4 linked regions of the Arabidopsis thaliana genome follow. The protein of the gene in region 1 interacts with the protein of each later gene in a pairwise test. Each region holds a gene or a part of one and is shown in the gene's direction. Other genes may lie near its edges.

The links.
Region 2: the proteins of AT2G01680 (region 1) and AT4G37445 interact in a protein complementation assay, tested with the Arabidopsis thaliana proteins (one large-scale study listed by BioGRID).
Region 3: the proteins of AT2G01680 (region 1) and CaS interact in a protein complementation assay, tested with the Arabidopsis thaliana proteins (one large-scale study listed by BioGRID).
Region 4: the proteins of AT2G01680 (region 1) and AT4G27610 interact in a protein complementation assay, tested with the Arabidopsis thaliana proteins (one large-scale study listed by BioGRID).

The regions. Positions count from the first base shown.
Region 1 is NC_003071.7:301,518-309,767, forward strand, and holds AT2G01680 (Ankyrin repeat family protein), read left to right. Parts: upstream 1-4,733; 5' UTR 4,734-5,079; coding exon 5,080-5,401; intron 5,402-5,538; coding exon 5,539-5,948; intron 5,949-6,043; coding exon 6,044-6,910; 3' UTR 6,911-7,626; downstream 7,627-8,250. Other genes in the region: AT2G01690 (ARM repeat superfamily protein), read right to left, coding at 7,627-7,791, 7,955-8,242.
Region 2 is NC_003075.7:17,602,180-17,608,530, reverse strand, and holds AT4G37445 (calcium ion-binding protein), read left to right. Parts: upstream 1-3,586; 5' UTR 3,587-3,612; coding exon 3,613-3,643; intron 3,644-3,733; exon of another isoform or gene 3,734-3,752; coding exon 3,753-3,867; intron 3,868-3,960; coding exon 3,961-4,021; intron 4,022-4,108; coding exon 4,109-4,387; 3' UTR 4,388-4,437; downstream 4,438-6,351. Other genes in the region: AGP18 (arabinogalactan protein 18), read left to right, coding at 1,590-2,339, 2,519-2,605; AT4G37440 (uncharacterized protein), read right to left, coding at 4,685-4,867, 4,941-5,419, 5,510-5,563, 5,669-5,985.
Region 3 is NC_003076.8:7,734,028-7,741,154, reverse strand, and holds CaS (calcium sensing receptor), read left to right. Parts: upstream 1-2,619; 5' UTR 2,620-2,742; coding exon 2,743-2,958; intron 2,959-3,040; coding exon 3,041-3,286; intron 3,287-3,385; coding exon 3,386-3,578; intron 3,579-3,728; coding exon 3,729-3,870; intron 3,871-3,949; coding exon 3,950-4,081; coding exon of another isoform or gene 4,082-4,085; exon of another isoform or gene 4,086-4,160; coding exon 4,161-4,395; 3' UTR 4,396-4,637; downstream 4,638-7,127. Other genes in the region: AAE17 (acyl-activating enzyme 17), read left to right, coding at 5,756-6,006, 6,090-6,219, 6,308-6,564, 6,653-6,857. UniProt on the Arabidopsis thaliana protein: Modulates cytoplasmic Ca(2+) concentration and is crucial for proper stomatal regulation in response to elevated levels of external Ca(2+).
Region 4 is NC_003075.7:13,783,980-13,792,461, reverse strand, and holds AT4G27610 (intracellular protein transporter), read left to right. Parts: upstream 1-3,946; 5' UTR 3,947-4,378; exon of another isoform or gene 4,379-5,088; 5' UTR 5,089-5,129; coding exon 5,130-5,313; intron 5,314-5,400; coding exon 5,401-5,505; intron 5,506-6,098; coding exon 6,099-6,814; 3' UTR 6,815-7,049; downstream 7,050-8,482. Other genes in the region: GTG2 (GPCR-type G protein 2), read left to right, coding at 103-233, 329-482; AT4G27620 (intracellular protein transporter), read left to right, coding at 1,946-2,132, 2,217-2,318, 2,715-3,403; NARA5 (pfkB-like carbohydrate kinase family protein), read left to right, coding at 7,457-7,846, 7,992-8,254, 8,473-8,482.

The DNA.
Region 1 (8,250 bases):
CCACCATTTACCAATAGCAAAAACAGGCCAGCTCAAAAATAGCAAAAACAATTATGGTCCATGTTCAATTTTTTGAAATATAGATCCTAATTACAAATGTAAATAAGATTTTGACCTTTGTGTACACTAGTTTTTATGGTAATTTTATTTTTTCATATTTTTAGTATTTTTGTTGCTATTTCGTATCTTTAGTTCTTTTTTCGTTATAGTAATTTTTGATGCTATCTTATCATGTTGGAAAATTAACCCCATATGCATATATGTTTTATACTCCTCTTCTAAAAAGAAATTACTTATTTCTCTTCTGTTTTTTCCCACACTTTAATTAAAAACATCATTTTGTTTACATGCAACAATATAGCTAGAGATGTATATTTAAAAACCCAATTAAAAGTTTACATAGAAATTCATAAAATATCTAACCATATAAAGCAATAAAAACATTTGGAACATCGACGTATATGAAATAAGCATAATTGTTTTTTCCCTAATAAGTATACTTCATATAAATGTTCTTCCAAAATAATTTGGTGTAGTTGTTATGTAAAATATATATTTGGATTCGGCTTTGTTTATTATGACTTTATGAGTTTCTTTTATTCTTCTTCTAGAAATATTATTTGCAGTCTCTAGAAAACTAACGATTTATTAAAGAATTTTAATTTGCCGATTAAAGTTTTCTTCTAGAATTAACATTGAATTTTGGAATACTTTCTACGATTCCATGCATTTTAAATTAGAAAACCATAAGAATATCGAGAAGAAGGAAAACGACTTTCTAGAATTTGATTTGAATTTTAGTTGCTTCAAAAACATCGATTTTAATTCATTGTTGAGTAGTAGACTGAGAAGCTAAAATGTATGAAAATATAATATTTTACTCACAAAACCTAAACCTAACCCCTCTCCCTCTCACATACTATATTTATATTACGTACTATTATGAAAACGACGTTGAATCTTGAATGTAATGTCTATATATAAACAGTTAATATATAATTTAACGTGACATGAAAAAGCGTAGAAAATTGGTTACACGAGTTAAATATAACCATTTCTTTCGGTTGGTGGATCGAACTTTGCATCGACCTTTTACTGGATTTGTTTTCTTAACCACTACAAAGTTTATGCATCGATCGGCTGTAGATTTGTGACCTTAGTTTGAATTTCGGTTTAAAAAGTTAGTAGCTATATCAAAAATGTTAAACTAAAATATTGGTGAGATATTAATTATAGGACTAGAACCCACAGTCTATAAATTTAAGAGAAGAAAAAGAAAAAGAAAGAAGATGTCGGCATCAGAGGAAGACCGGAGCAAGTCGTGAGAGTTGAAATGGTCGGACACCACATGCTCTCTTTCCCTCTCTAATAATACATTATGCAAGTTATCAACTCTCTCTCTTTCTCTTTTTTTTTCATTTATCACTAATTGACAAATTATAATTGTTATAAAAATGCAATATAATTAATGGATTTCAAATATTATCTATTTTTTCTTCCGATATTTGATTAGAAAAATTACTTTTTAGTGTAATTTTAAGTTTTGGTGTTAAAAAAAACTATAATTTTAAGTATTATTTCAGAATATAATTTGATCTGAGATGGGGATAGTTATTGGGTAGGCGGATTTGCCCTACATATTGACAAATGCTAGGCACTTTTAATGGAGTTGTGGGGAATTTACTATGGTCTGCTGATTGTTTGGGAGAGAGGCTTAGGAAAGTGGATTTAGAGGTAGATTCAGAGTTGATAGTAGGATTTCTTCAGTCAGGGATAAGTGAGGCATATCCGATAGCTTTTGAGATATGTTTGTGTCATAGTTATTTTTCAAAGAATTGGTTAGTCCGAATTTCTCATGTGTATAGGGAGACTAATCGTCTAACAGACGAATTAGCAAACTATACGTTTTATTTGTAGTTAGGTTTTCATACATTTGATTTTTGCGCTGATGTAGTCCATTTGATTATGTTACAGGACGCAGTGGAAACAGACGTCGAGTTTGTTTATAAATTTTTTGTAATTTAATCTAATAAATGGTGAAAGGCAATTGTTTCCTCCACCCTACCAAAAATAAAGAATATTCCAAATGAAGTTCCATAATATTCTTCGGGGTGTAGAATAGAGGTGTTTTCTTACAATTTAGGACGTCTATACTAGTAGCTATGATTGAAACCAAGACAAATCCAACAATTGTGGTCCAAAACAATATTGTACATTGCTTAAGGAAAGCGTTGAAGATAATAAATCAGAATTAACCAAAAAGAAAGAAAAATAATAAATCATTGTTATGGTCGTCTTATGGATCCTAGTTATATACGAATTGAGTTTTCATTCATAGTTGAGAACGAATTCGTTTGCTCGCGTGTGAGTTTAGATCGTGGTTGTTTTTGTTTGATCGTCTACTAGTGTTAATTAAGATCATTATTTCTTAAACCCTTGAATGGTTCTTCTAAAACCTATGCAATGACCGTGAAAACGTTGATGATATTAGTTTTAACCAAAGAAATGTTATGCTAATAATGATATTGTGATGTTAAATTAATAAAGAAAAGGTTATGCTTAGCATGATCCCAAGCGATAATTCGTGTGTCCTATCATTAGGTTTGGAAAAACTCTACCAATCATAGACGATTAGACCAGTATAGTTGATTATAGTTTTCAGAATTCAGATTTCAGACCAAAGATAGAGTTGTGGACGTAGGTTTCTTGATTTTTGTTTTGTTTCTGTTTATGTTTTTTTGTCGTTATACATGGATAAAAAAAATTCCAACCAATCGTTACCTTGAGATGTGTAGTTGGACTTTTATTGCCTCATCAATACACTTATACAAAAGGTTCAATTTTCTGTCTAATTATGGACATGTTTATTTCAAATGTATGGTAATCTTCCAACACTTATAATACCATAATGAAAAATACTTCTGTTTATATATATATTGAACTGAGATTCAATTAGTGCCACCCATGTGACCTGATGGACTCTCCGTAGACAAATGTGGGGGCAATTTTGTTGGATCAACCAAACCCAACATTTATTTTATATCTGATTTGAAGATTACATTAGTAAATAAACAATGGTTAGAGTCAAGTTTATACAAATATATGGGACCCAACTAATAAGAAAAAAAAATTATTGACGTCAGATATATACTAATAAAGTATATAACAAAGGACCCTCAGTGCATGTAATTAATATATATTTTCCAATAAATATCAAACTATAGATTTTCTAATGTATTTAATGTTATTATTTCTAACTAGTAATTAATTGATAATTTGACAAATAAATTTTTGTTTCACATTATTCTTATATAAAACTGTAAATGATTTGTAGCAAAAATACAAAACTGTGTATATAATATACTTTATAAATAGTTTCTATGTATTGGATCCAAGTAGGATTTCGAAGACTTTGAAGGGCACATCTTTTTCAAAGTTTACTTATACATATTTAATGTAAGATAAAGTCATTGTTTATATGTTTTTTTCTAGAACACTTAAATTTCCACAATATGATAATTTAAATTAATTGAATTTTGTTTTACTTTGGTTGGTTTGTGGATAAAATCCAAATATTACAGTCACTATCTTTCGACGTGTCTCACTTGCAACCTAATCCTTTTCTGGAATGTAGCTTTTTTTTTGTTTGTCAATTTTATTTCTTTCTCTCTTAATCCATAAAAATTTTAGGCATTTTTGTATTACTGTCAAAGAACTGATTAGCTATGTCTTCTATATATCTAAAATAAACCATAAGAATCATAGTTCATACTCATTATGGTATTCTTAATTTTCTGAAACTATCGATAAAATGTTAAAACGTTATATACAAAAAAGGACTATCAACGTAGCAATAAAATGAATTTAGACTTATATGAAAGCTAATGGTGACGAAGAAGTTGACGGTGATGCCGGTCATTTGGGTCGGTGGTGGTTCCGTCACGGAGACTTTGACGGTGCATTATTGACGTCAACATGAAGTAGCTCTCACAAAACACAAAAAGGACCGTTTAGTTTGCTAGTTATTAAAAATATAATGGGCTTCAAGCCCATAATAACATGTCTTTTTACAAAACAGAAGCCACGTATTATATAAACCCATTTTTTAATATATAAATAATTGGGCTGTACTTGGGCTTGGACGGTTTCACTCTTTTATTTTTATTTTTTTAAAGTTTTTTCTATATTAGTAATGATATATTTACAGTGGAAGCCTTTTTGGCGGAAAGTTCTATTAATACTTATACACAAAGAAATTGAGGTTCAAGTCCCAAATACTGTGATTTATTAGCAGATAATGGAGATAAGTGTGCAAGAGATCTCGAACGATGTACAATTATAACTGTTTGCCAGGATTTGAAGATCTTTCAAGGTGTCCATCAAAAGCATGAAGACGGAGAAGAAAGTGTCGTCTTTCGTGGATCTAATAAAGATCGAAACAAATTACCCATAATAGAATCGGCTATATAACGGTTCTCATAAATCATAATTTGCAATAAATAATAAATCTAAAACGGTAAAAGAAAAATATATTTACATGAAAATAACATGTCATTTTAAATATTTCCAGAATTAAAATATAATTCCAACTGTCAACGGTCCATATACGTTATCTATAGACTATATAGTACATAAATTATTTTAAAAAGACAAATAATTTGTTTCGAGAAATAATGTTGCTGTCTCGTCAAAATTGGAAAAAAAATACATTTTAAAATACAGAGAAACGAATTATTGAGAGGAGAAATTTAGAGACCATTCAGGTTTTGATTGAAGAAAAAAAAGATTCCCATTTTATCATCTTTTTAGTTTTTAGTGTCAACTCTCCAACAAAAGCAAAAACCTTAAAGAATTTTGTTCTTTTTTTAAAGCAAAAGAACCAAACATGGTTTCACATGAATCCCAATTTCATTGCAAAGCATAACTAAAAATAAAGAAGAAGACTTTTTGGAGATCGAATCTGTTCATGTTGATGGGTTTTGGCTGAGCTTTCTAGAGATAGAGCTAGAGAGTACTGGGTCTGTGTAAAGTTGATAACTTTTTTTGGTTTAGAGAGAGAAAGGACAGAGCTTTACAGAGATGGAGATGAAGCAGATGAAGTTTCTTACTCACCAAGCTTTCTTTTCCTCTGTTCGATCAGGAGATCTTAGTCAACTTCAACAGTTAGTTGACAATTTAACCGGAGATGAGCTAATCGATGAGTCATCGCCGTGTTCTGCTGTGGCTGAGCTTATGTCTGTGCAAAACGACGCCGGAGAGACCGCCGTCTATATCTCCGCCGCAGAGAATCTTGAAGACATTTTTCGTTACTTGATTAGGTTTTCTAGTTTGGAAACAGTTAAGATCAGATCCAAATCCGACATGAACGCTTTTCATGTCGCTGCCAAGCGAGGTCACTTGGGTATGTCTCACTAATTCTGACTTCAAATCTTCAAACTTTGGCTCTCTGATTATGATTTTGAATCTGAAATTGCTGAAAATGGATTTGAATTTCGTAGTTTGAAGATATTTTGATGTGGCTCTGCTTATGATCTCCAGGAATTGTGAAGGAGTTACTGAGACTATGGCCAGAGCTTTGCAGAATCTGCGACGCTTCCAACACGAGTCCGCTTTACGCAGCTGCGGTTCAAGATCACTTAGAAATAGTAAATGCAATGCTTGATGTTGATCCTAGCTGTGCAATGATTGTGAGAAAGAACGGGAAAACATCTTTGCACACTGCGGGAAGGTACGGGCTTCTTCGGATAGTGAAAGCTCTCATAGAGAAAGACGCAGCGATTGTTGGTGTTAAAGATAAGAAAGGTCAGACTGCTCTTCACATGGCTGTTAAAGGACGAAGTTTGGAAGTAGTCGAAGAGATTTTGCAGGCTGATTACACAATATTGAATGAGAGAGATCGAAAAGGGAACACTGCTTTGCATATTGCTACTCGAAAGGCGCGGCCACAGGTATTACTCCACTCCTTTCTTAGCTTCTTGTATTGCTAGTTAGCTTTCAAGAACAGGGGTTGACACATAAATGCCTTTTGTGTTTTGTTTATTAGATAACGAGCTTATTGCTGACCTTTACGGCGATTGAAGTGAATGCGATTAACAACCAGAAAGAAACTGCTATGGATTTGGCGGATAAGCTGCAATATAGCGAATCTGCTTTGGAGATCAATGAGGCTTTGGTAGAAGCTGGGGCTAAGCATGGGAGGTTCATTGGTCGAGAAGATGAGGCGAGAGCATTGAAGCGAGCAGTGAGTGATATCAAACACGAGGTGCAATCGCAGCTTTTGCAGAATGAGAAAACCAACCGTCGTGTCTCTGGGATCGCGAAAGAGCTGAGGAAACTCCACAGAGAAGCGGTTCAGAACACGACTAACTCCATAACGGTAGTGGCGGTTCTGTTTGCTTCCATAGCGTTCTTGGCCATATTCAACTTGCCGGGTCAGTATTTCACGGAGGGGTCGCATGTGGGACAAGCCAATATTGCAGGGAGAACCGGATTCCGCGTGTTCTGTCTTTTAAACGCGACATCTCTGTTTATATCGTTAGCGGTTGTGGTAGTTCAAATAACTTTGGTGGCGTGGGACACACGGGCGCAGAAGAAAGTTGTGTCTGTAGTGAATAAGCTAATGTGGGCAGCTTGTGCTTGCACATTCGGAGCATTTTTGGCGATTGCATTTGCGGTTGTTGGAAAGGGGAACTCGTGGATGGCGATTACCATAACGTTGCTTGGAGCACCGATCTTGGTAGGGACATTGGCAAGTATGTGTTATTTCGTGTTTCGGCAGCGGTTTAGGAGCGGCAACGATTCACAGAGAAGGATTAGGAGAGGGAGTAGTAAGTCGTTTTCATGGTCTTACTCTCATCATGTATCCGATTTTGAAGATGAATCAGATTTCGAGAAGATTATTGCTCTTTGAATTAAGTTTCTTAAGCGTCTTTGTATAGATCGTCTCTTCTCTTTGCCTTTCTTCCAACGCAAGTCTGTGTTGTATTCTTAGAATAAATCTTGTTGGTACATATTAGTATCATATATAGCAATAAAGTCGCCACAGGCCATATCTGTATTGTTTCTTTTGTTCTACTACTGGAAGTGGTTAGTATATGTACAATTCATTCGAGTACTAGTGAAGTGTAATGTCTCTTATTAGCAAACATTGTATAAGATGTAAATCATTGTGAGATGAGGAAAATGTAAAAAGGAGCATCATTTGACATAAAATATCCAATAAGTGACCTCTACAAACTCATGTGGTTTTCCAGTTATAAAAAAACAACACAAAACCACATGATCACTTCTTTTTCTTACATCTCCACATAAGGTAAAAATATAAAAAGCTCCAAACAATGAAACAAATTCAAAGAAACGAGAAACCCCCAAAAAAACAATATAAAGGTAGACTGAGGGACTGAAGAAGAATCTCTCGTAAATAAAAAAAACCCGACAGAGAGAAAGAGATGATGGACACGACCGTAGCTTTTCCACAAGTTCCGTCGAAACTTGAAGAGTTACTAAAAAAGAGAGATATACAATTTTACAGGAGACAAAAGGGATCGGTGGTGTCCACACAAAGAAGATGAAGATGATGATTGTCGGGGATGGAATATTATTTATTATTTATGATTACCAGGTAGGTTAAAGCTGTAATTGACCAGGGCCTTTTCTTGAAGTTCTTGATGGAGGTCTATTGTTATCTGCAACTGATGATGATGTCGAAGAAGGTGGTGGTCGTTGTTGTTGTTGTTGTTGCTGTTGTTGTTGCTGCTGCTGCTGTTGTTGTTCTTCAGATCTCCTCACCTCCTAATACATCAAATTAAAGCACAATGAGACTATCCATATCTCTTAACACTCCAATTGCTAAGGGAAAAAACCGGTAAATCTTGCAAAAATGGCAATAATGTTACACCATCCTGTTATATTATACCGCAGGTTAACAGACAAAAATGTGTAGCGTTATGTGTACCTTTGATGTAGAAGAAGAGGAAGAGTGATATGAGTAGTTCACTCTAGTCCTTGCCTGGCCACGATGTAGATTCTGTACGTTTTCGAACTGTTGTAGCCGCACAGCAAAATTGATTCCTTGGTGAGAACTGTTGATGTTATCGTCTTCTAAGTCACCGTCCTCGTTTTGATGCTTATACTGAGAGAAAGGAACTCCTGAAGTTGCTCTGCCTATTTGGTTTCCAGTACTGAATGAGTACGTTGGCACAGTTTTGAGTCTTGTCCTAAGTATCTTGAACGCCGCACTTTGCTGCATAT
Region 2 (6,351 bases), on another chromosome or scaffold:
AACCATGAGCAGTAAGAAAACTTGTGTTTCAGTCAAACATCTTCCGTCTGTTTCTGATCTAAAAAACAAAAAAAAAGCTAGAAAAGCTTTGTTAGGGTTTTAACTTTATTAACTCTCGTGTTTAATATAATTTTACAGATTTAATAATGTATCTAAATATGATTTCTCTGGTCTCAACATGAGAGGTTCCAACATGAGAGTTTACAACCCTTGGCCGATCTTATGTTGTTTTAAGTTTATTCTGACACCTCTTTTTTTAATACAATCTTCTGTCTGCTCTGATTGACAGCATTGATACCATGATCATATAACCGTTGCATGTTTCTGAAATCAATCTCAAAATAATTGCTTCATAGTAAAAAATGATTACAAGATTCGAGTTTCATTTATTATCGTTATAACACTCACTGTCTCATTCGTCAAAGTCTTTAACAAAGTCAACGAACGACCATTAGCTTGGGCTTTCTCTCCACCGACGCGCCGCTCTCAGAATTTCCACTTACTCATTGTCTTTATATTCAAAAACTCAAAAAAAAAAAAGTATTAAGAATGGCTTAAGACCGAAACGTGTTTTCTCCTAGTCTGGCAAAACACAAAATAATAAATATAAGGAAACGCTTATGAATACTTTTCAATATTCTACATAAAGTCATTGAAAGAAGGATTGGAACAAAGTGAGAAGCAACAAAAAGAAATCAAAATCGTAGCTCCTAAGCAATACGTTTCTTCATTGGCAACGGTTTTGATTCCATTTCGACTCGAATGAAAAAAGGCCAAAGAGTATTCAGGCAATTACGGTGACGGTGGCAACAAATTATAGATTAAAACGAGCCAAAATAGAAGAAAGTGCCAACAAATCCGTGTGGGCACCAATCCAAAGTGGCAAAATCAATCAACCAGCTGTCCTCTCCCTCTAACTTCCGATCAAAGACTCTCTTTTTTTTTGTTTACGTTTTCTTTTCCTCATTCTCCTTGTCTTATTTTGATTGCATTATATTGAACTTGAGTTTAATCATTTTTCATTATTAAGGTTATTTATTTATAGACGCATGATGCATCAAGTCATAATAATTTCACCCGTGATGATCACATAATAATACTAATCCAAGACTCCATGTGTCGTACCCCAAAAATTTATCTCAATTATACTATGTACCTTATATTGTGCTATTTTTTTAACTAATAATTTCCCGACAATTTAGTAGTTGGAAATTTCTCGACCGTGTGATATAATCTATAATATAAAATATCATAATTATTAAACAATGATAAAATTTGTGAGCGACATTGGTATCAATTTCAAATCCAATTATTATGTTGACACAAGACTAGTGATTTATAGTATAACCAATTTAATGTCTAACGTAAAAACAATTACTATTAATTGATTTTCTATATCTGATCATATGTTCAACAAAACACATGCTAATCTACCCACCATTGGCGAATAAATTTATTGCAGAATATAACAGGAGAAAAATGCCAAGAAAAAAAAATCCTTATAAAAACGCACAAGAAAAAAGTAAAAGAGCTATTCTGTAAAATAAAAATGAAAAAAGTATTGAATCCTACATTAATAGATACAGGATATGATGTTCTGTTTCTCAACGGCTACATCTGTCTGTGATCCTTTTTTAATCCAACGATCCAGATCTCTCCTCATCGCCTATATAAAACTCACTTCTCTTACATCAAACAAACAACACGCTTGGTTAAACTCCATCAGTACTTTAACCATCACTTCAAAGTTCAAACTCTTTTTTTTTTTTTTGTTTGATCCAAATTTTAACAAAATTATGGATCGCAATTTCCTCCTAACAGTTACATTGATCTGCATTGTCGTCGCCGGTGTCGGTGGCCAATCTCCTATCTCTTCTCCGACCAAATCTCCCACCACTCCTTCTGCTCCAACTACTTCCCCTACTAAATCCCCCGCCGTTACTTCTCCCACTACGGCTCCGGCGAAAACTCCAACTGCTTCGGCTTCTTCACCGGTTGAGTCACCAAAATCTCCGGCTCCTGTTAGCGAGTCGTCTCCACCACCGACACCTGTTCCAGAGAGCTCTCCTCCGGTTCCTGCACCAATGGTTTCTTCTCCAGTGAGCTCTCCACCGGTTCCAGCACCAGTAGCTGATTCTCCTCCAGCTCCGGTAGCCGCTCCGGTTGCTGATGTACCGGCTCCTGCTCCAAGCAAGCATAAGAAGACTACAAAGAAATCGAAAAAGCATCAAGCTGCACCTGCTCCGGCTCCGGAACTTCTCGGTCCACCTGCACCACCGACTGAATCTCCCGGACCTAACTCCGACGCTTTTTCTCCCGGTCCTTCCGCCGACGATCAGGTACATTAGCTTATATCAACAATGTTGATATTTATCTACCGTCACAAGTTCGAGTATCAATGTTAAAAATAACCAATGAGACATTTCAAAACAGTGAACATAGATTTTCAATTTTTGTTATATTGATTTAGTAATTACATATTCGATTAACTAAAATGAAAATATGGAATTGAATGCAGAGCGGAGCAGCGAGCACAAGGGTGTTGAGGAATGTAGCGGTGGGAGCGGTTGCAACCGCATGGGCCGTTCTCGTTATGGCATTCTAAATTATTTATCATTTCACCTCTGATATTTTTTAGTTTTTATATTTTTGACCCTACCATTGTCTCTTTCTTTACGAATTTGGTAATGAGTATTATTTAATTGATTATACAGTTTGTTTTCTTTTATTTTATTTATATGGAAATAATAAGAATTCATATCTGTCAGTGATGAAAATACTGTTTTACACATTGATTGTTCTTTTCTTTTGCAGACAAAAGTCCTTTAGTGATGGGTCCGAGTTCTTTATTGAAAATGACACATTCAATTTTAATGCAGAATTATGGACATTTACTCTAAAATAAAATGTTTGTGTAAGTAACGTCTATGTAACAATAAGCAAAGCAGTTACATAATTTGTTTTAGTCTTTTAAATGTTTAAAGTGTTAGTAAATCAAATGTTGATATTTACGTTTGAAACCAATTACATGTGTTTCTTTAAACAAATATTTACAATTGGAGTATAATTATGCGAGAATGAAAGTGTCAGCTACTTAGTTGGATCTTAGTCTTTTATAATGTGAAGTTGGTAAATATTTATTGAATTCATATCTGATACCCAACTCAAGTGGCCAAGTTGCTATAAATGAATTGTCTAAAATTTATTACTAAACATGTATAGATCCAACCAATCATATAATACAATGCTTTTTATTGTACCTTTCAAATAGCTAGATTCATATTTTTGTCTTGTTCCTTAGAGAACTAGATTTGAAAAAGAAAAAAATTAATGGATATCTAATATGGTAGGCAAAAAGAAAGTGAGAATAGAGGACAAGTCATATTCCCCATGCTTTTATTAAAAGTACATTACTCAACTGTGAAGAAATGGCTAAGATTTTGTAAGTAAAGCACAAGTTATACTTGAACCAAGGTCTTGTGTAGAGATTCAAGATTCTTGGCTTTGCAAAGACACAAACCCACCAAGCCAAGTCTCTGATTCCACACACCAATACAAATTTGTATATAAACATAACATTTTCTTCTTCCTAAAGACTAACTTCTAGACAATATGGGTAGTTCAATGGGCTTTCTCGGAAAAGGTTTTGCAATTTTTTAACCTAACAATTATCGACTCAAATCGTTATATAACCGTTTTGACAAATTTTCGTCCTATATATCTTTCTAAATAGATTTCGATATTTGGCCTAGGGGTACCACCGACGCAGATGATGAATATGGTAATGGGTTCACTCTACAAACAATTTACCCAAAAAGCTATCAACAACTTCGACGATTTCCACGTTGCTGTTTTAGACATCTTTAAGTAAGGATTGTTTCATTATTTGATCATTCGAAAACAATGGTTATGTTGGCCAACATTTTTTTTTTTAAAAGGAATTTTATCTATTGAGTGCAGCAACTTCAACTCGGCTTTACCAGGCAGGCACTTCGATTTCCCAACCCCGGACCAAATAAAGGTGAGTCCTCTCCTCTATCAAAATCACACAAAGAATCTTATAATAATTTCTCTATATTTTTAACACAATGTTGAATGATCTAAACAGGTTTGTTTCGCGCGGTGGAAGGAAGCGAAAGACGAAGAAGAGAAGAAAAAATTGTTCATTGAGTTCATGTCAAAGAGCGTGAAGCCAAGTAAACTCGATGATGTCACTATGATCACCGGAATAGTATCTCCACCGGCGGCAATGGCGGCTAAGAGAGCAGGAGAGAATGTTCCTCAGTTAAAATTAATCAAACTTATACCTGATGTTATATTCGTCCCTACGGTCACCATTTTAGCCATTGTCTCTGCCAAACTCTCTAGACGAATGTATTTGAAATAGTGTTTTAACTAAGCTTTCTTTCTTTTCCAAACAAAAAAAACTTAGCACCGACAAGATATAAAACATGATTGATTGATAATACAAAATAGAGAAAAATATATACACTCTAAATTATAGAAGTAAAGTTCAAAAGTTGATGTAGTTTGAATATATTGTTGACATGAAGAATCAAAACACAGCCACTATAAATATTTCTTTGTACTTTAAAGGCTTAAGAGTTAAGAATATCTTAGAATGAACAATTTTTACTTTTTAACACAAGATCCGATTAGTTACTTGAAAGTTTCCAAACCTTCTTCAGGATCTTCTTCGTAACCCGGCAGAGCCTGACCTTCGTTTTCCTCGCTTTCTCTTCCTGTTGGAAAACCTAGAAGCCATCACAGCATTAGACTTTGGCTTCTCTCTTGAAACCCGACGCCTCTTTGGGTTACTCTCTTCCTTCGTAATGATTTCACGATTGCGCGGTGTTCTTTTCCTTACCTGCGTTGTGTTAGAATGGCATATGAGACCAAAAGGGTTTAGCAAAGTTACACTGAGTTAGCGGAAAACTTACAGGTCTTGATGGACCTTCCTCAATTGAAGCTTGTTCTGTCTTCACTAGATTCTTATCGGGAATAATAGATTTCCCTTCCCTTCGCTTTGATGCTAGAATCTCAGACAGTAAAATATCTGTTGTCTCGTCGTCTTCAGGTGAGACGTGATGAGATGAAACTGAAGCAGATTTCACCGGTTTTTCTTCAGAGATGATCGATTTCTCATCTTCGTTTTTGATAGCCAGCAGGGGCTTTTGTTGTTCTGAGCTGGTGTATACATCAGCAGCTCCAAGTGGATTCACTGTGTTAGCCAGAGGGAATATACTTGGATTTTCACTCAAAACCTTGTCTACGCGGATCTTCAAGTTACGGGCTTCTGACTTTGCTGCTTCAATTTTCAAAAGTATCTGTTCCAAGTACGCATCGCCTTCTCTAAACTCGAGAGGCGGTGTCTCTTCAGAGAAAGCTGTCTCATCCTTGGCGCTCTTATTCTTCTTATCTGATGACCCAAGACAGAAAATATTTTATAAGATCAAAGTTTTCAAAAGGAGTAATATCATATCATAGTTGAGATTTTAGAACACCATACCTAGGTTGCGGGAGTTGTCATTAAGAGCAATATCGGCCAAAGATTTCCGACAATCTATACAAAGATCAGAAACAATAAGATAAGAAATTATTAGACAAGTAATGGTAGATGAACATTAATCACGACCAGAAAGACAAGAACACCAAACTAGTTCCATACCATAATAAGAGAAGAGATTATGGTTTGATGCATAGGATGTAACATCAGCGGTCTCTTCAACTCGCTTTCTCGTTTTCCTCTTCATGAGTCGGGTTTTCTGAGTATAACATGGAAGAGGAGGTAAAGCCTTTACTCCAAGTTCTTCTGATTTGACATTTTCTAACTCCAACTTCTTGGCTTGGTAATATTCTTCAACTTCTTTGTCGTACTTCTGTGCTTGGTTCTGAAGTTCTTTGTATTTGAGTTCAATCCATTTGCAACGCCACATTAAAGTAGGCTGTACAAACCTCCTCCAATGATCAGTCAGCTTCCTTTTTCTGCCATAAAAAGGAACAAACCATAATAATTACCGCATACCATTCACGATATAGAGCAATTCTTCTCCTGACTTCCTTAAAAGGAGATAAATCAAAGACGCAGCTAGCTAAGTCGTAGTAAAGTAACACACAAATTTAAGTCCTTTCAGAATCAATCAAACAACACATAGATGGAACTGATAGTGTTCAATAATAAGTAACAGTAAACAAGGCTACCAAATCCATGAAAATCTACAACACCAAATTAAGCTACAGACGTTTTTCTCATTAGTACAGGAACCCAAGTAACTCCTAAATTTCAGTCTTTTAAGAATCCAGCAACATAGAGATGGAACTGATAGTGTTCAATTAAAAAGTAAAAGTACA
Region 3 (7,127 bases), on another chromosome or scaffold:
TGATAAATTTTAACAAAAAGAAGTGAAAATTATATAAAAATGAAAAGAAGTAGAAAAGAAGAGAAAAACTAGAGTGAGAATCATTAGACTGTCAATCATAGAGTTGGATTTTTTATTGACCAAAAAGTACAAAAGACGAGGATGAGAGAAAATTATGTAATGTACGGTAAAACGGTGAGTCATCAGATTCCTCTTTTTCAAATTTCATTGATTCCAATTGAAAAATCTCCTCTCCTTCCACTTATTTCTCACATGCATTCTCTCTATATATATGAGCAGCTCCTAGTTTTATAACTCTGCATCTATCCACCTCTCTCTGTAAATTTATCTAAATGTTTCTTTTAATCTTTTTGAGATTAATAATGATTTGTGTTTGTTCATCAACCGATTTTCTCAGATCTGTCAATTATTTTTGTTTATTTATTTATGATTTATGAATGAGGAAAGAGTGAAGTCGCTGGAGGCAGCGGTTCATCGATCAATTCCTGTGAATATTTATTTTTGTTTACAAAAGCAAGAATCGATCGATAAACCTCTGCATCCAGCGCTGCTTGCTCTTCATGACTTTTGTTTAATTGATATCTATTTGAGTATTGCTGAGAAGCAGGACAATGGATTCGATAAAGTCTTCTCAGCTGCTGAAACTAAATATTTAAAATTTATCCCAAATCTAATTCAAAGTATTCATCTTTTAGCTGTTGAGATAGTGAGGGAAAACAAAATTCTTGTATATGAAAAAAGGATAAAATGAAATTGTTTGTTTGTTATTGTTTTGGGTAACAGATCAATTATCATATGTGTTTTTGTTTGTAGTCATGTCTTCATAATTGACTCATATTCTTAAATCTTACAACTTCAGTTTTGTCTTAACTTTTTTTTTTTATTGATCTGTTTTTTAACAATGGTCCTGAATTCTGATGATGCAGTTTTACTTTTGGTTTACATGTATGTATCAAGGTTTGTGTTCCATATGGTCTTTCTTCATCTAGCATTTTTGTTTTTGTTTGTTGAGCCACTGAATCCAACTTGTACTTCTTCAGCTTTGCAGATTAGTAGATCGGTTTTTTTCCTGGCTATGTCTTTTGTCACTACAGACCCTCAACGCTAATTTTGTTCCTGAGCATGGCTATGTTGTTATGAGTTCCTGATATGAAATTTGCTGTGATCTCTTGGTTTCTTGATGCAATGTGTGCTTTTGCTTACTTCTCTGGCTCTTTTAAGTATTACCTACATAGACATTGCATAATTCTAAAACCTTTGCTTTTGCATTACTATGTTCATTCTTGGCAAGTGATAAGGAATCCACGTAGAATAGTATAATACAATCAAAAACTTTGATACATTGCGCAATGAGTGCGTGATGATAACCCTTTAATCAGGATCCAAGTGGTGATATTCACTGATTAATAACCTTCTAGAGAGCCATGCTATACTTCTTGTTCTTTTCGTATTACTATTTATGAAACTGGCTGTTCAAGAAGAATCAAATTCACTCCTTAAACTTTCTTGTTGTAAAAGACACTTTTGTTATAAGTCATTGGTCTTCCTGTGTCCTCTCTTTTTTTCCCTCACCTTTGGCAGCACAGAGAAAAGGTGAGGGAATCTTGTGAAGTGAAAGGATTCCTTAGCTCGTGGGTTTTAAAATTCCTTGGAGCAAAACTTCAAATGGTATCATGATTCCATTTTCAAATTAGGTAAGAAAAGGAGAATCTTGTTCTTTTTCAAGATCAAGACTTGTTATCTTTCTTATATTCCTCACACAAGAGGGGCTGTTAAAATATGAGAAAATACTGTTTCTCTACAATGTTCTTATATAGAATTTGTGATGATGGTAGCACTACTAATAATATGATACCACTCTCTAGGCTGATGCTTTAACAAACATGAACTTAATAGCATAGTTTAAATGGTGAGCTTGCTTGTTTTAAGGTCTAGTAATGGTACTACTATACATTTTGTGGAATTATATACTTGTAAATGCTATGGAACTAGTGATCATGTGTGTTTGCTCGTCTTCCTTCAATCATGGGAAAGTTAATAAAGTGAGTCTATAATTTTACTAGTAGACGGTTGACCAAGTGTAGGTAGTTTACTTCACTTGATCAGCATGCTCAAATCTGTTCAAATTTTTAGGAGAGTAAACAGGAACCACAAGAACGGAACCTAAACCAACATCAGTCCAATTTAAGATACTTGGTTTTGTACGGAATGAAGTTTAATAGCAGTTTTCGGTCTTGGTTCATACAAGATGATGTTTATTGGCTTTGATTGGTAACACAATTTGAGGCGCTTGGAGCGGAGGTTGAACCGCTTCTTTGATTACCAATCGAACTGATGGAACTCATTGTTAGAAGAGGCGGCTAAAACAGATAGCTACTTCGTGTACAACCATAAGCATGTTTCAATGTACAGTATTCATTTTTTGTTGCTCTTATTCTGTAGTACACCTCTGATATTACTGCTACAATGAAATTCTTGTACGACATATATCAAAGTATTGGATTGGCAACGAACGGCTAAGCTTTAACACAAAAATGCCACGTAGGATTAGTCTGACCAATAAGAATCCATCTTTCAAATCCCCTTCCTTCAATCTTAACCAGAAAACTCAATTTATTTATAATCTTTAGAAAAAGGTACTTGAAGAAACAGTTTGCAGACAACATTGAAGAGAAGCTCTAAAGATTCTTTGTCTCTTTCTCTGTCGCATTGATTTGTAAAAAAGTGTGGCAGAGAGAAACCATGGCTATGGCGGAAATGGCAACGAAGTCTTCACTATCTGCAAAACTCACTCTTCCTTCTTCTTCTACTAAGAAGACACTGAGTCTGAGACAAGTCTCTGTTTCACTTCCAACATCAACTTCAATCTCTCTGTTATCTCTCTTTGCATCTCCTCCTCATGAAGCTAAAGCTGCTGTTTCCATTCCCAAGGACCAAATCGTCTCCTCTCTCACTGAAGTATATATAATAATCTCACTTTACTTCTTGAAATGACCAAAATGTCTCCTTTTTGTTGATGAGTGTTCTTGTGTCTTAACAGGTGGAGAAAACAATCAACCAAGTTCAAGAAACTGGTTCTAGTGTATTTGATGCAACGCAGCGTGTGTTCCAAGTAGTAGGAGATGCTCTTAAACCAGCTTTGGACACTGCTTTACCCATTGCAAAGCAAGCTGGTGAAGAAGCTATGAAGCTTGCTTCTCCTGCTTTCTCTGAAGCTTCAAAGAAAGCTCAAGAAGCAATGCAGAGCTCTGGTTTTGATTCTGAGCCTGTCTTTAATGCTGCAAAGGTCAGATTTCTTACATTCAAATATGTATGAGAACATAACAATTTAGGTTTTGGGGTTTAGGGTTTGAAGTGGTTTGTCTGTGTTTTGGTTGGGATGTAGACAGTAACAGATGTAGCACAACAGACGTCAAAAGCGATAGAAGATGCTAAACCGATTGCTTCATCGACCATGGATACGATTTCTTCAGCTGACCCTAGTGTCATTGTTGTTGCTGCTGGTGCTGCGTTTCTTGCTTACCTTCTTCTCCCTCCTGTTTTCTCTGCCATCTCTTTTAACTTCCGTGGTTACAAAGGTACCTCAAGACTCCATATAGATCATCTTGAGAACATATATAAGTTTTTGATTTGGTTATTAGTGATCTATTTTGTATCTAGAGTCTAATTCACCATAGCAAAATGCTGACAATTACTCTGTGTTTCTGGTTTGTGTTTTTTTAATAAAGGTGATCTTACGCCGGCTCAAACGCTTGACCTTCTTTGCACCAAGAACTACTTGATGGTGGATATAAGATCAGAGAAAGACAAGGAGAAAGCCGGGATTCCACGGCTCCCTTCGAATGCTAAGAACCGCGTGATCTCCATTCCGTATGTGTCTATCTAACTTTGATAATTCTTTTCATTATTATTATACTCAAAACATTGAACCTGTTCTTGTGATTATCAGATTAGAAGAACTACCAAACAAAGTAAAAGGAATCGTGAGGAACTCTAAACGAGTTGAAGCAGAGATAGCAGCATTAAAGATTTCTTACCTCAAGAAAATCAACAAAGGCTCCAATATCATCATCTTGGACTCGTGAGTTTTGATTATTACTCTTTTACAAGACCTTTTTTGTGAATCTTGCTTAATCTTTATTGGTCTTTTTGGCTCGTAGGTACACGGATTCGGCTAAGATAGTGGCGAAAACGTTAAAGGTTCTCGGGTACAAGAATTGCTATATTGTGACAGATGGATTCTCTGGTGGCAGAGGATGGTTGCAGAGCCGTTTAGGCACTGATTCTTACAACTTCTCGTTTGCACAAGTCTTGTCTCCATCGCGGATTATCCCGGCAGCTTCGAGAAGCTTTGGCACTAGGTCCGGAACCAAGTTCCTTCCTAGCTCCGACTGAAAACAGAGGATATATATAGTTTTACAAGTGTTGTTTAGTATTCCTTTATTTCTCAACTTTGAGAGATCTTTTGATAAGATAAGATTTTCGAATTACTTACTTACTTGTCTTTTACATTGATGATCATATATGGAAAAGATTACATCAAACTGAAGTAGTAGCTAATCATCTAAAAGAAAAAATGTATGATCAAAAACCGGGATGAGTTTGGCCTATAGTGGTAGGAAAAAATTGGGATAAAGACTAAATTCATAATGAGTTATGGACAACTAATTGTAATATCACATAGATGCACAATCATTTTGGACCATCTGGTAGGTGTGTGTGTGTGGCCTAGCCTTATCACTTAGTGGGATTGCCAATAGCTTTTTGCCGAAAATCCATTTTACAAATGGTTGAAGATAATAAAAATTAGACAAGTTTTTTTTTTTGTGGAGTTTAGTTTAGTGCTTTCAATCATGTGAAAACCAAGATATAAATTTTGAAAACTATTATAAATATTGTGCAATAGTTGAAGTATATACAAACTATTTTTAATCAAAATGTTGTCTAATTAATATTAATTGTAACACCGGTCACTCCGAATTGTAACAAAATTGTCTATTTTGCTAACGGATTCTACACCAAATTAAATAAAATTTATATAGACTAACATATATTGCTCTACTGATCCATACAATCTAAATTGATAGTGTATATAGACTGAAATCAATAAATAAAAGACATAAACCAAATAAGATGATGATCAAAAGTCGAAAAGAGAAAGCAAAAAAAAAAGGTGTAAGAGATCAGTACCACTACATAATGTATATAGACTGAGACCAATTTCAAGATACATAAAATCATATAAAGTAACCAAATGTAAAGTGTTATCTTCTTTTCCTCAATATATCAATCAATCAACATTTTTTTTCTTTCACTTTCATTATGATTCCTAACATATAAATAACTAAACTTAGTTTGTCCCAAAAAAAAAAATACCCAACTAAACTTAAGGTAAAAAATTGGTCATAGTAACATATCGACAATGTATATAATATGGAGCCTAGATTCTGAAATGATTCATAGATTAAGAATACAAGTTCATATCTCATACAATGTATATAGACTGATATCAATAAAAAGATTCATATCATAATATAACATGAAGATAAAAAAAAAGTAACTCCTATCACCAAGAAGAAGAAGATAATCCAATCAGACGTGTAAAGAGCGAAAAAAAGCTATCAAATATCAGAATCAGATTGACACGTGGCGATCACGAGCTCTCTTTATATTACGTGGACAATTTTGCCACTCTTCTCTCTGCCACTCTCATCATTTTTTGAATCATTCATGATTTCTTAGCTCTCTCAAAAAAATGGCGTACAAATCCCTAAATTCAATCACCAAATCTGATATCGAAGCTCTAGGAATCTCCGGTGATGTCTCCGAGAAGCTTCTCAGAGATCTCGAAGACATTATTCACGGTTCATCCACGCCGCCGGAGACGTGGATTCAGATTTCTCGGCGGATCCTTCACCCTAATCTCCCTTTCTCTTTTCACCAGATGATGTATTACGGTTGCTACAAGGATTTCGGACCCGACCTACCCGCTTGGATACCCGACCCGTACGAATTGTTTGTTTACCATAAATTGATTTTTCTCCGTTTGTTTCAGATTCTTATGATTTTGGCTTTGTTGTATATTATAGGAAGGTTGCTTCTTTAACTAACGTAGGCAAGTTATTAGAAAAGCGAGGCAAAGAGTTTTTAGGTGGAAATTACAAGAATCCAGTTTCGAGTTTCTCCAGTTTTCAAGAGTTCTCTGTATCAAATCCTGAGGTAACTAACATTGGTGTTATTATTATTGTTATGCCTTAAGTTTTCGTGATTATGTGTTTTGTAATTCTATGGTGATTATCTTGATCAGGTGTATTGGAAAACTGTATTGGATGAGTTAAACATATTGTTCTCTGTACCTCCTAAGTGTATATTAGAGAAGGATACTTCTGGAGATAATCCTGGAGGTAAATGGCTTCCTGGAGCTTACTTGAATCCTGCAAGAAATTGTTTGACTAATGGTTTCAAGAGAAGATTGGATGATATTGTGATTCGATGGCGTGATGAAGGAAGCGATGATCTTCCTGTGAATACCATGACACTTTTGGAGTTAAGATCGCAGGTCTGGTATGAAATTCCCATCCTTGTGGCCTTTCTTTGGTGAATAACGCTTTAAAGTTGTTTCCTTTACTGACTATTGTTATCTATTGTGTAGGTTAGCTGCACATGCTCTTAGTGCTTTGGGTTTGGAGGAAGAGTCAGCAATCGCGGTTGATATGCCAATGAATGTTGAGTCTGTGATCATATACCTTGCTATTGTTTTAGCTGGCCACGTAGTTGTTTCAATAGCTGATAGTTTCTCTCCCCGTGAAATATCAACACGGCTTAAAATATCAAAAGCAAAAGCCATTTTTACTCAGGTAACTTTCTCATGATTCTTTGATGGATGGAACATGAAGGTGTAAGCTTTGCTGTTAAGTTATACTAGAGTGTGATGCGACGGTTTTAGTAAAGAGCTGATTGCTTTTTGCCTGTTGAATTTAGTTCAAGTTGTGGCCAAATTCTGAACGGTTGTTATGTGATCTCTGGATTTTAAAACATAGCCCTAGTTTAAAGCCTAGATGGAAAAAGCAATTTTGTTTGATTTATTGGAATGGTCACTCTATAAAAGCCAGCATATAACATGGCTT
Region 4 (8,482 bases), on another chromosome or scaffold:
TAAGTAATTGTAACTCGCAATATACTGAAAGCTTTTGTTTTGAATACTGTTAAACGTTTTGGTGATTGAATTGGGGAGTTTTTTTTCAATTCGCTTGTACAGTTCTTCTTTGCAGTGTCGAGGGTTGGAAGTGGATCTTCAAGCAATGTTGTGCTCTTCCTATCAGAAATCATGGGAATGTACTTTTTGTCTTCCATTCTTCTTATAAGAAAAAGCTTGAGAAATGAGTACAGGTACGTAAGATAATACTATAACAATAATTACAACCGTTCTTCTGTTGAAAAGATGAAATGTGGATTATAATCGAATGGTGTTTTTGTTGGCACAGAGGGATAATAACAGATGTATTAGGCGGAGATATTCAGTTTGATTTCTATCATCGATGGTTTGATGCAATATTCGTGGCTAGCGCTTTTCTTTCTCTGCTTCTGCTTTCTGCGCACTACACATCTCGTCAAATTGATAAGCACCCAATAGACTAAGCAAGCATCTGTGAGTTCCCTTGCAAATGAGGTGGTTGATTAAATTTTGATCTAGATGAAAAACTTGAAACAATGACCACTACTTAGCGTTGACTTATGTACATTTTCTTGCTTTGAAAGGATCAGTCTTGAGTTGTTGTTTTTTTTTCTTCCTCAGGTGTGTGTGATTAGTTGTAAAGAGAATGAGACTTTGGGGTTTTACCATTCAATAATATATATCTGATATAAAATTCAATAGATCTCTACCTTATTTATATGCATACATTATTTTTCATGCAGTACTTTAAGAAACACATACACACACAAAAAAGAAAGGAAAAGAAAAAGAAAAAGAGTAGTGGCCACAATGATTTAATGAGGCATTAACCGAAAATGACTGTTTTTTTTTTTTGGTTGATTCGGTGTGAGAGATTATTGTGGTAGAGAAGGAGTTGGTACGTGTGTTAGGTTCAATATCTGCTTCGGTTGATTATATGCATGTAATTGACTTCAATGTCACATTGTATCCAGTCCAAGGATTTTCAATTCCAAAATACATTCATAGAAAACAACGAAGATAAATCTAAAGAAATATATATATAGAATAATTTACAACTTCTTAGTGCAGTAGTAGTGCATAGGTTGAGAACAAATTTACATTCTCTAGGAATGAGATAACCTCTGTCATCTGATCACCAAGAGTCACTGCCGCCAATAAAGAGAAATGTATCCTTCGTTTTGTCGTAATCTTGATCCTATATTAATCTCATTTCTTAATCGTTACTTTTTATTTGTGAAATAGGTTAAATCAACTGTTACTTACATTATACAAAATCATGAAGGAATTATTCAGTTTAATATCAATCAAAAGGCCTAAGTAGTAATCTCGATTCCACATTATTTTATTTCGCCTTTTTTTTCCGCCAATTTCGATTCGACATTCTTGAGAAATAAAATATCTAGTAACAGTACTATACACTATGAAAATAAGATAATTTGGGACGCTTCACGGCGGGTGAAGAAAAAAAAAAAGAAGCTTCAACGGCCTTTGAGTAGTTGTTTCTGCGCCGCGCTGTCTCTCTAAAACAGCCTGGTAAGCTTCTTCGTTTTCCCTTCTAGAGACCATTGATTATCATAATTGTTCTACAAACTTTAGCTTTTTCATTAGTCTCTCGATCTACTTGATCGTTGTCACTTAGCAACCCTAATTTCTGGGAGAATCGTCCCTGCAGTATTACCCATCCCGATGAGGTTTATTTTCCGATTTCTGTTTCCTTTTTATCGTCACTTTTGGTGTTTTGAATCGTTCTCCGATTTTCTTTTTGTCGTTGAGCCTCTGTGTTCTTCAATTGTTTGCCATTTTTCCTTCGCATAGGGTTTGATTACGATTAAAGGCCTCTGTTCTGTTACTAAACTTGAGACTGTGGCTTCCTCTTCAGTGTTAAGGTTGGATGATAGAAGACATTTTTTGACCTTCTCTTACAATGACTACACGAAGAAATGGCGTTTCCAGGCATCAGCGGTTTGAGAGTTTTCGCGGTGAAGGACCAAATTGGATCTTAATTGCTGGGGGTGCTTTGTTGAGTACATTGTCCATTCGTTTTGGCTACAAATTAAAGCAGTCTATTGACTCCAAACCTCCTCATTCCAATGCCACTGGTGGATTAAAACGTACTTATCTGGTTGTTTAGTGCTTACATGTCCTAGAATTCGCTTGTATTCTCTATCTTATTGGTAGGTTGTTTTGTTGTGCAGCTAATGGAACAACCGACAGAGGAAGATTTAAGGGCTGCTGCTTGCATTCTAATGCATCACCCTGTGAAAGGAATAATGATTGTTGCTTTCACTGCACTCCCGGTGAGAGTTTGTGAGTTTGTTATTCTTACTACTGAATTTGCTTATACATAACTTCACTTCACATAGTCTCTTACTGGGGTTTGATTTTGTGGTATCTTTGAAGTGAAAAGAGATTTTGGGAGATGTTGTCAAATAGTTGAAAGAATATGGAGATGGTTCTTACATATTTGTAGCCTCTAGTATCTTGCATAATGATCTTTGTAACCCAATCAGGAACAATATTTGACTAAAGATGTCTTTGTACCCCAATCAGGATTCATACTTAAGTAGCTACTTACGTTAATGAGCTGGAAACTATGAAGGCTGTAGTATTATCCCCCAATGATGGCTTGTGTTATGGCAGAAAAGTTTTGTGTGGGTGTTCTGAGAGTTGGCTTCTTATTTTCATTTATGCAGGAACTGAGAATGGGGAAGGAAATCATGCTACAAATGAGCAAATGGCAGAGTCCAGTACTTCTCTGCCTCTTGTGACAGTTCCTGCTTCATCATATAGCAAAGAGAGTGCAGTCGTATGGGGATCTTCTCCTGACCACCTGGAAGTGCCGATGAAAGCATACCATCAACATTCGACCTGCTCAGATTCTCCTTGCGTATCTGAATCCGGCTCAGACATCTTCAGCAAGCGAGAAGTAATACAGAAACTGAGGCAACAGCTGAAGAGACGTGACGACATGATAGTTGAAATGCAGGAACAGATTCTAGAGCTGCAAAACTCGCTAAACGCCCAGATGGGACACTCTAGCCATATCCAAACACAGCTAGACGCAACAAACAGGGACCTGTTTGAATCAGAAAGAGAAGTCCAGAGACTGAGAAAGGCAATCGCTGATCACTGCGTGGGACACACAGGTAGCAATGGTTGGAGTGGCGATGTGAACAGCGAAAACAACTACGAGTCACCAGAAAATGGAATAAGGGATGGAGAAAGAATAGAGATGTTGAGAAAAGAAGTGGGTGAGCTTAAAGAAGTGATAGATGGGAAAGAGTATCTACTTAGGAGCTATAAGGAGCAGAAAACAGAGCTTTTGCAGAAGGTAAAAGAGTTGCAGCAGAGACTGGACTCGCAGCTCCCAAACATTTTGTAGGTGAAGAAGGTTAGGCATTGTGCATTCTTACCACTCTCTTTTGTTTCCCCGAGTAAAAAATATGAATCTTTGTTCAAAAATATCTCAATTTCTCCGGGGAAACTTATCAACTGACTACATTGTTTTGGGTGTCAATTATGATTTTATCCAAATTGTTTTTTTCTCTTGGTGAAGTGGATATTCGAAAGTTGCAAACTCATACAATATCGTGTCTCAAGGCTTAAATTGTAGAATTGCAGTTGAAGTTTTTTACAAGAAAGTTGGTTACTTGTTCTTAAGGAAAGAGAAAGAAGGGTTGCTAAAATTTAATTTGGCACTTATTTCAGTCAGGTTTTGATATTCATAAGGAAGAAAATCGTTAGAGAAGGAAGGACCAAATATTTAATTTTGTAGTTGTCACATAGTGAAGAAGACAAAAGAAAAATGTATCATCACATTAGCTGGTAGTGACTTAAAATAGAAAAAAAAAAATAATCAACAGAAAGTGCAAACATTTACACATGGATAAAGATGTCAAATGTTCATTCATACTCAAATTATCTATTAAATTTCATTACTAAAAAATTGAAATCGTAAAGAAGAAAAGAAAGAAGAAAAAAACATATGAGCTGAGTTTGTTAACCACCGTGAGCGTCATCCATGGGACGTGGTTGACGCGTGCGTGATTTTATTTTAATAAATGAATTAACAGTGGAAGGAAAAAACAACAACGGAGCTGTAACTGTGAGGCGCCGTCTCTCTTCAACCTCTTCCCCTCCACTTTGCTTCTCTCTCTCCTCCCCGGGGGTTTTACAGTCATATCATCGTCGGAGACTCTGCGATTCTTCACGGAATCGTATTTCTCTCTCAGCGATTTTTTTCGATTCTCGAAGCTGCAAGGACCACCCATCAAACATTGAAACTCAAGCGGGAGAAATTTTCTGGCTCGGGAGGGAAACTATGGAGCCCTAATGCCCATTTTCTGCTGTCTATGAGGTTTTTTAAAGAGTCCTTTATACTCTCCCTGTTTTTGGGTGCTTCGCTCGCTCACTGATTTTTGATTCGTCGGAAAATCTATTTTCGAGCTCGGATTTATGTAATTCCTTATTCTCCTTCTGATTGCGATTGTTGTGTTCATTAAGGGTTGTTGGGATATCGATTAACGGCCCCTATCGAAAAAAATAAGGGTTGTTATTATTTTCATTTCGCTTCATGTTCAAGGCAAGTATCTATCTCTTCTTCTTGCTTTTGTAGTTTTAGAATCTAAATCCCATGGCATCAACGTTTCGATTACTCTTTCAGGGAACTCCATTTTTCTTGCATTTGCTTTTTTTGAGGTAGAGTCTGTGCTCCTATATGATTCCATGGATTCGTCGTATACTTTCTCAACTGAGAATGTTTGACTTAGAGAATCTTCCATTTTTTTTTTTGTCTTTCTCTTTTCAGTGTTACTATCATTTTAGATCTTTTTTTTGTTTTTCCTTCTCTGGTTGACTGTGTTTGAGGTAATGCTCAAAACGTGATTCTTTGTGCTCATTATCTTTTCATATTCTAGTTTCTGGAATCTTTCTGGGTATTAAGCATTTGATGATTTTAAAATTGTATATTTGTTGATTTTATTGAGTTGACACCAGGTTTCTTGTTGACATATGCCCAATTCATTCTGATCGTTGATGATGATTGATTCTTGTATCCGTTCAATGTAGGTTATGTTTGGATGATAGATACATTTTGACTTTCTCATACAATGAGTACACGAAGAAATGGCATTTCCAAGCATCAGCGAGGTGATAAATTTTGTGGTGAAGGGCCAAACTGGATACTAATTGCAGGGGGTGCATTGTTGAGCACATTGTCCATTCGCTTTGGATACAAGCTAAAGCAGTCGCTTGATTCGAAACCTCAATCAAATGGCTCTGCTGGATTAAAACGTACTTACTTTATCGCTGTGTTGCTTAACATGTTTTATAATTTGGTTCTAGTTTTTTTCTATCACTAAATGAAAGCCTCTTGTGCAGCTAATGGAACATCTGAGAGGCAAAAATCTACAAGCTGTTGCTTACACTCTACCACATCTTCCTGTACACAAAATAATGATTTTTGTTGCTTCCGCTCCATTCCAGGTGTGACTTTGTAACTTTCTGTTTTGCCTCATACATATTTGTTCAATCTACTAAACAAACGCTATATGCTTGTTTCTTGGTCTCGCATCATGTCTTACTGGGTTTCCTTTCATGAAGTTAAAACGATGTGTGATATATAGTAAAATCTAGTTGGGAGAATGTGTAGATGTTGTTATAGAGTTCTAGCCTCTGTTATCTTACCTCATGATGTATTTGTCAACTAGGGGAATCCAATTCGAAGTTATGGAATGAGTAAAATAGTTACAAGATTTGCCACCTTGCAATAACTGGTTGAATCGAATATCTCTTGTTTCGTTGTGGCATATTACCATTAATTTGCATCAATTGGGCTGGCAACTAGGGAAGCAGGTTTTCTCCATTGATGGCTGTGTCTAGTGGCTGAATGCTAAAAACAGTTACTAGTTTTGTTATCTACCAAGACCTCGTTAAGCATAGTTACAAGTTTTGTACTATTAGATCCAGACCTGAGTTATGTTTTCTCTTTGGAAAATCTCTGAATCCTAATATTCATGTAGTCCAGAGCAAACAGTCGTGTATGGATCTTATCAGCCTTTGCTTCTTTATTTTTATAGGAACTGAGAGTGTGGAAGGAAAAGAGGTGACAAGCGAGCAAATGATATCCGCATCTGACACTTCACTGCCTCTTGTGACAGTTCCTGCTCCATCGAGCAAAGAGAATGGAGTCATGTGGGCAACTTCTCCTGATCGCCTGGAACTTCCCCCAAGACCATACAATCACAATTCAAACTGCTCAGATTCTCCTTGCGTATCTGAAACCAGCTCAGACATTTTCAGCAAACGAGAAGTAATACAGAAACTAAGGCAGCAGCTGAAGAGACGGGATGACATGATACAGGAAATGCAAGAACAGATTCTAGAGCTGCAAAACTCGTATAACGCACAGACGGCACACTCAAGCCATCTCCAGGCACAGCTAGACACACTGAACAGAGATCTGTTTGAATCAGAAAGAGAAGTTCAAAGACTGAGAAAGGCAATTGCTGATCACAGCGTGGGATGTGGCGCGGACAGCAATGGCAAGACATCTCCGGTTGGACCTTGGAATGGCGGGTTTATGGACAGCGAAAGCAATTATGAGTCACAAGAAAAGAGCCTAAGGGATGGAGAAAGAGTAGAGATGTTGAGAAAGGAAGTGAGTGAGCTTAAAGAAGTGATAGATGGGAAAGAGTATCTACTTAGAAGCTATAAGGAGCAGAAGATTGAGCTTTCGCAGAAGGTAAAAGAGTTGCAGCAGAGACTGGACTCACAGCTCCAAAACTTATTGTAGGTGGAAAGGTTAGGCATTGTGCATACTTGCGTCTCTTATTTTTTTTTTCGGTTCTTTTTCCTTTTTCGAGAAAATGAATCTTAGTATGTACTAAGAACGGTGGAGATCAAGATTTTCAGGTTCTTTCTGGCTTTCTGCTTTCGTTTTTGAATGTCTTGATTCTGTTTTTTCTTTCAACATTTGGTGTAAAGGTAAATAGATAGTTGTTGAAGAATTTACCGCGGGAATAGCTCTCTACTTTTTTTTTTTTTTTATTCTCCGTAATTGGTAACTAACCCGATAATTACAAACGCCACGTATAAGGATGTGTTCACTAGAAGAATTAGCCAATTTTAACACAAATGATAAATAGTATAAACAAATTTTAAATTTATAAATAGACGCAACATACATTATTATTTTTAAGATACAGTTAAAATAAAATTGTTAGCAATTATGCTTATTCTGAAATTTTGGGTTTGAATATAAATAAGAAATAGAGTTTTATCCTAATAAGATTTATATAAATAAACATATAAAGTCAAAGTCATACTTTATCCTCTCAGAGGCCGTCTCTCGGGTTTTGCTGGTCTTCCTTGCTCCTCTCGCTTTTGAATGGAGATGTGAGCTTTCTTCATTCAAAGAGCAAAACTATCTAATTCCATGGCGTTCTCCCTCCTCTCTCCAATTCCTACCTCTGCCTCTCTTTTTTTCACTCTCTCCGCCATTACCGCTTCTAATAATGCTTCCTCCTCCTCTCTCTCCCGTCTTTACTCTTTATATCACCCCAAAGGAACCTTACGAACCAGAACCGCGACCTCGTTTTTCGGAGCTTCTGGGAACTTGAGGATTGTTTCCATGGCGGAGAATAGGCAATTGGTTTGTAGGATTGGTGGCGGAGCCGGTGCTGAATTGGATGATATGGATGAAGGTGAAATCCAGAGGATTGGAAATGAAGACGAAGACGACGATGAATTCATACAAGTCCATGCTAATAATTCCTCTGCTGCTTCGCCTGAGAGATGGGATGTTTTGGGTCTCGGCCAAGCCATGGTGAGTTTTTGTTTCCTATAATAAATCATTCTAGCTTCTAGCTTCTAGCTTCTTCTTATCCTTGAAGCCACCAAATGGTTGAAATATGTGAATCTGGATCCTAAAAATACTTACTTGGTTATTGATGATGTGTTTTATGTTTTAGGTAGATTTCTCTGGAGTTGTGGATGATGAGTTTCTAAAGAAACTTGGTTTAGAAAAGGGAACAAGGAAACTGATTAATCACGAGGAGAGGGGTAAATTATTACAAGCAATGGATGGTTGTAGCTATAAGGCGGCAGCTGGAGGCTCATTGTCCAACACTTTAGTTGCTCTCGCAAGATTAGGTTCTCAATCCATCTGTGACCGGCCTTTGAATGTGGCAATGGCTGGCAGTATTGGAGGTGACCCTCTCGGTAGCTTTTACGGGTACTAAACTGTCTTACTTATATGGCCCTTCTCTTTTTTTTTGGCTAATTGTGTATGTAGTTAGACATAGTCTACTTTTTATTCCCCTCTTAAGAATTGGAGTATGGAATTATGTAGAGAATCGTTACTATACAAGAGTAGTTTGTAAGGCGTCAAACTAGCCTATCATTACATTTGGTTTGGTATACTCACAAGTTTTTTTTTTTTTGTTTCTATAGGACTAAACTA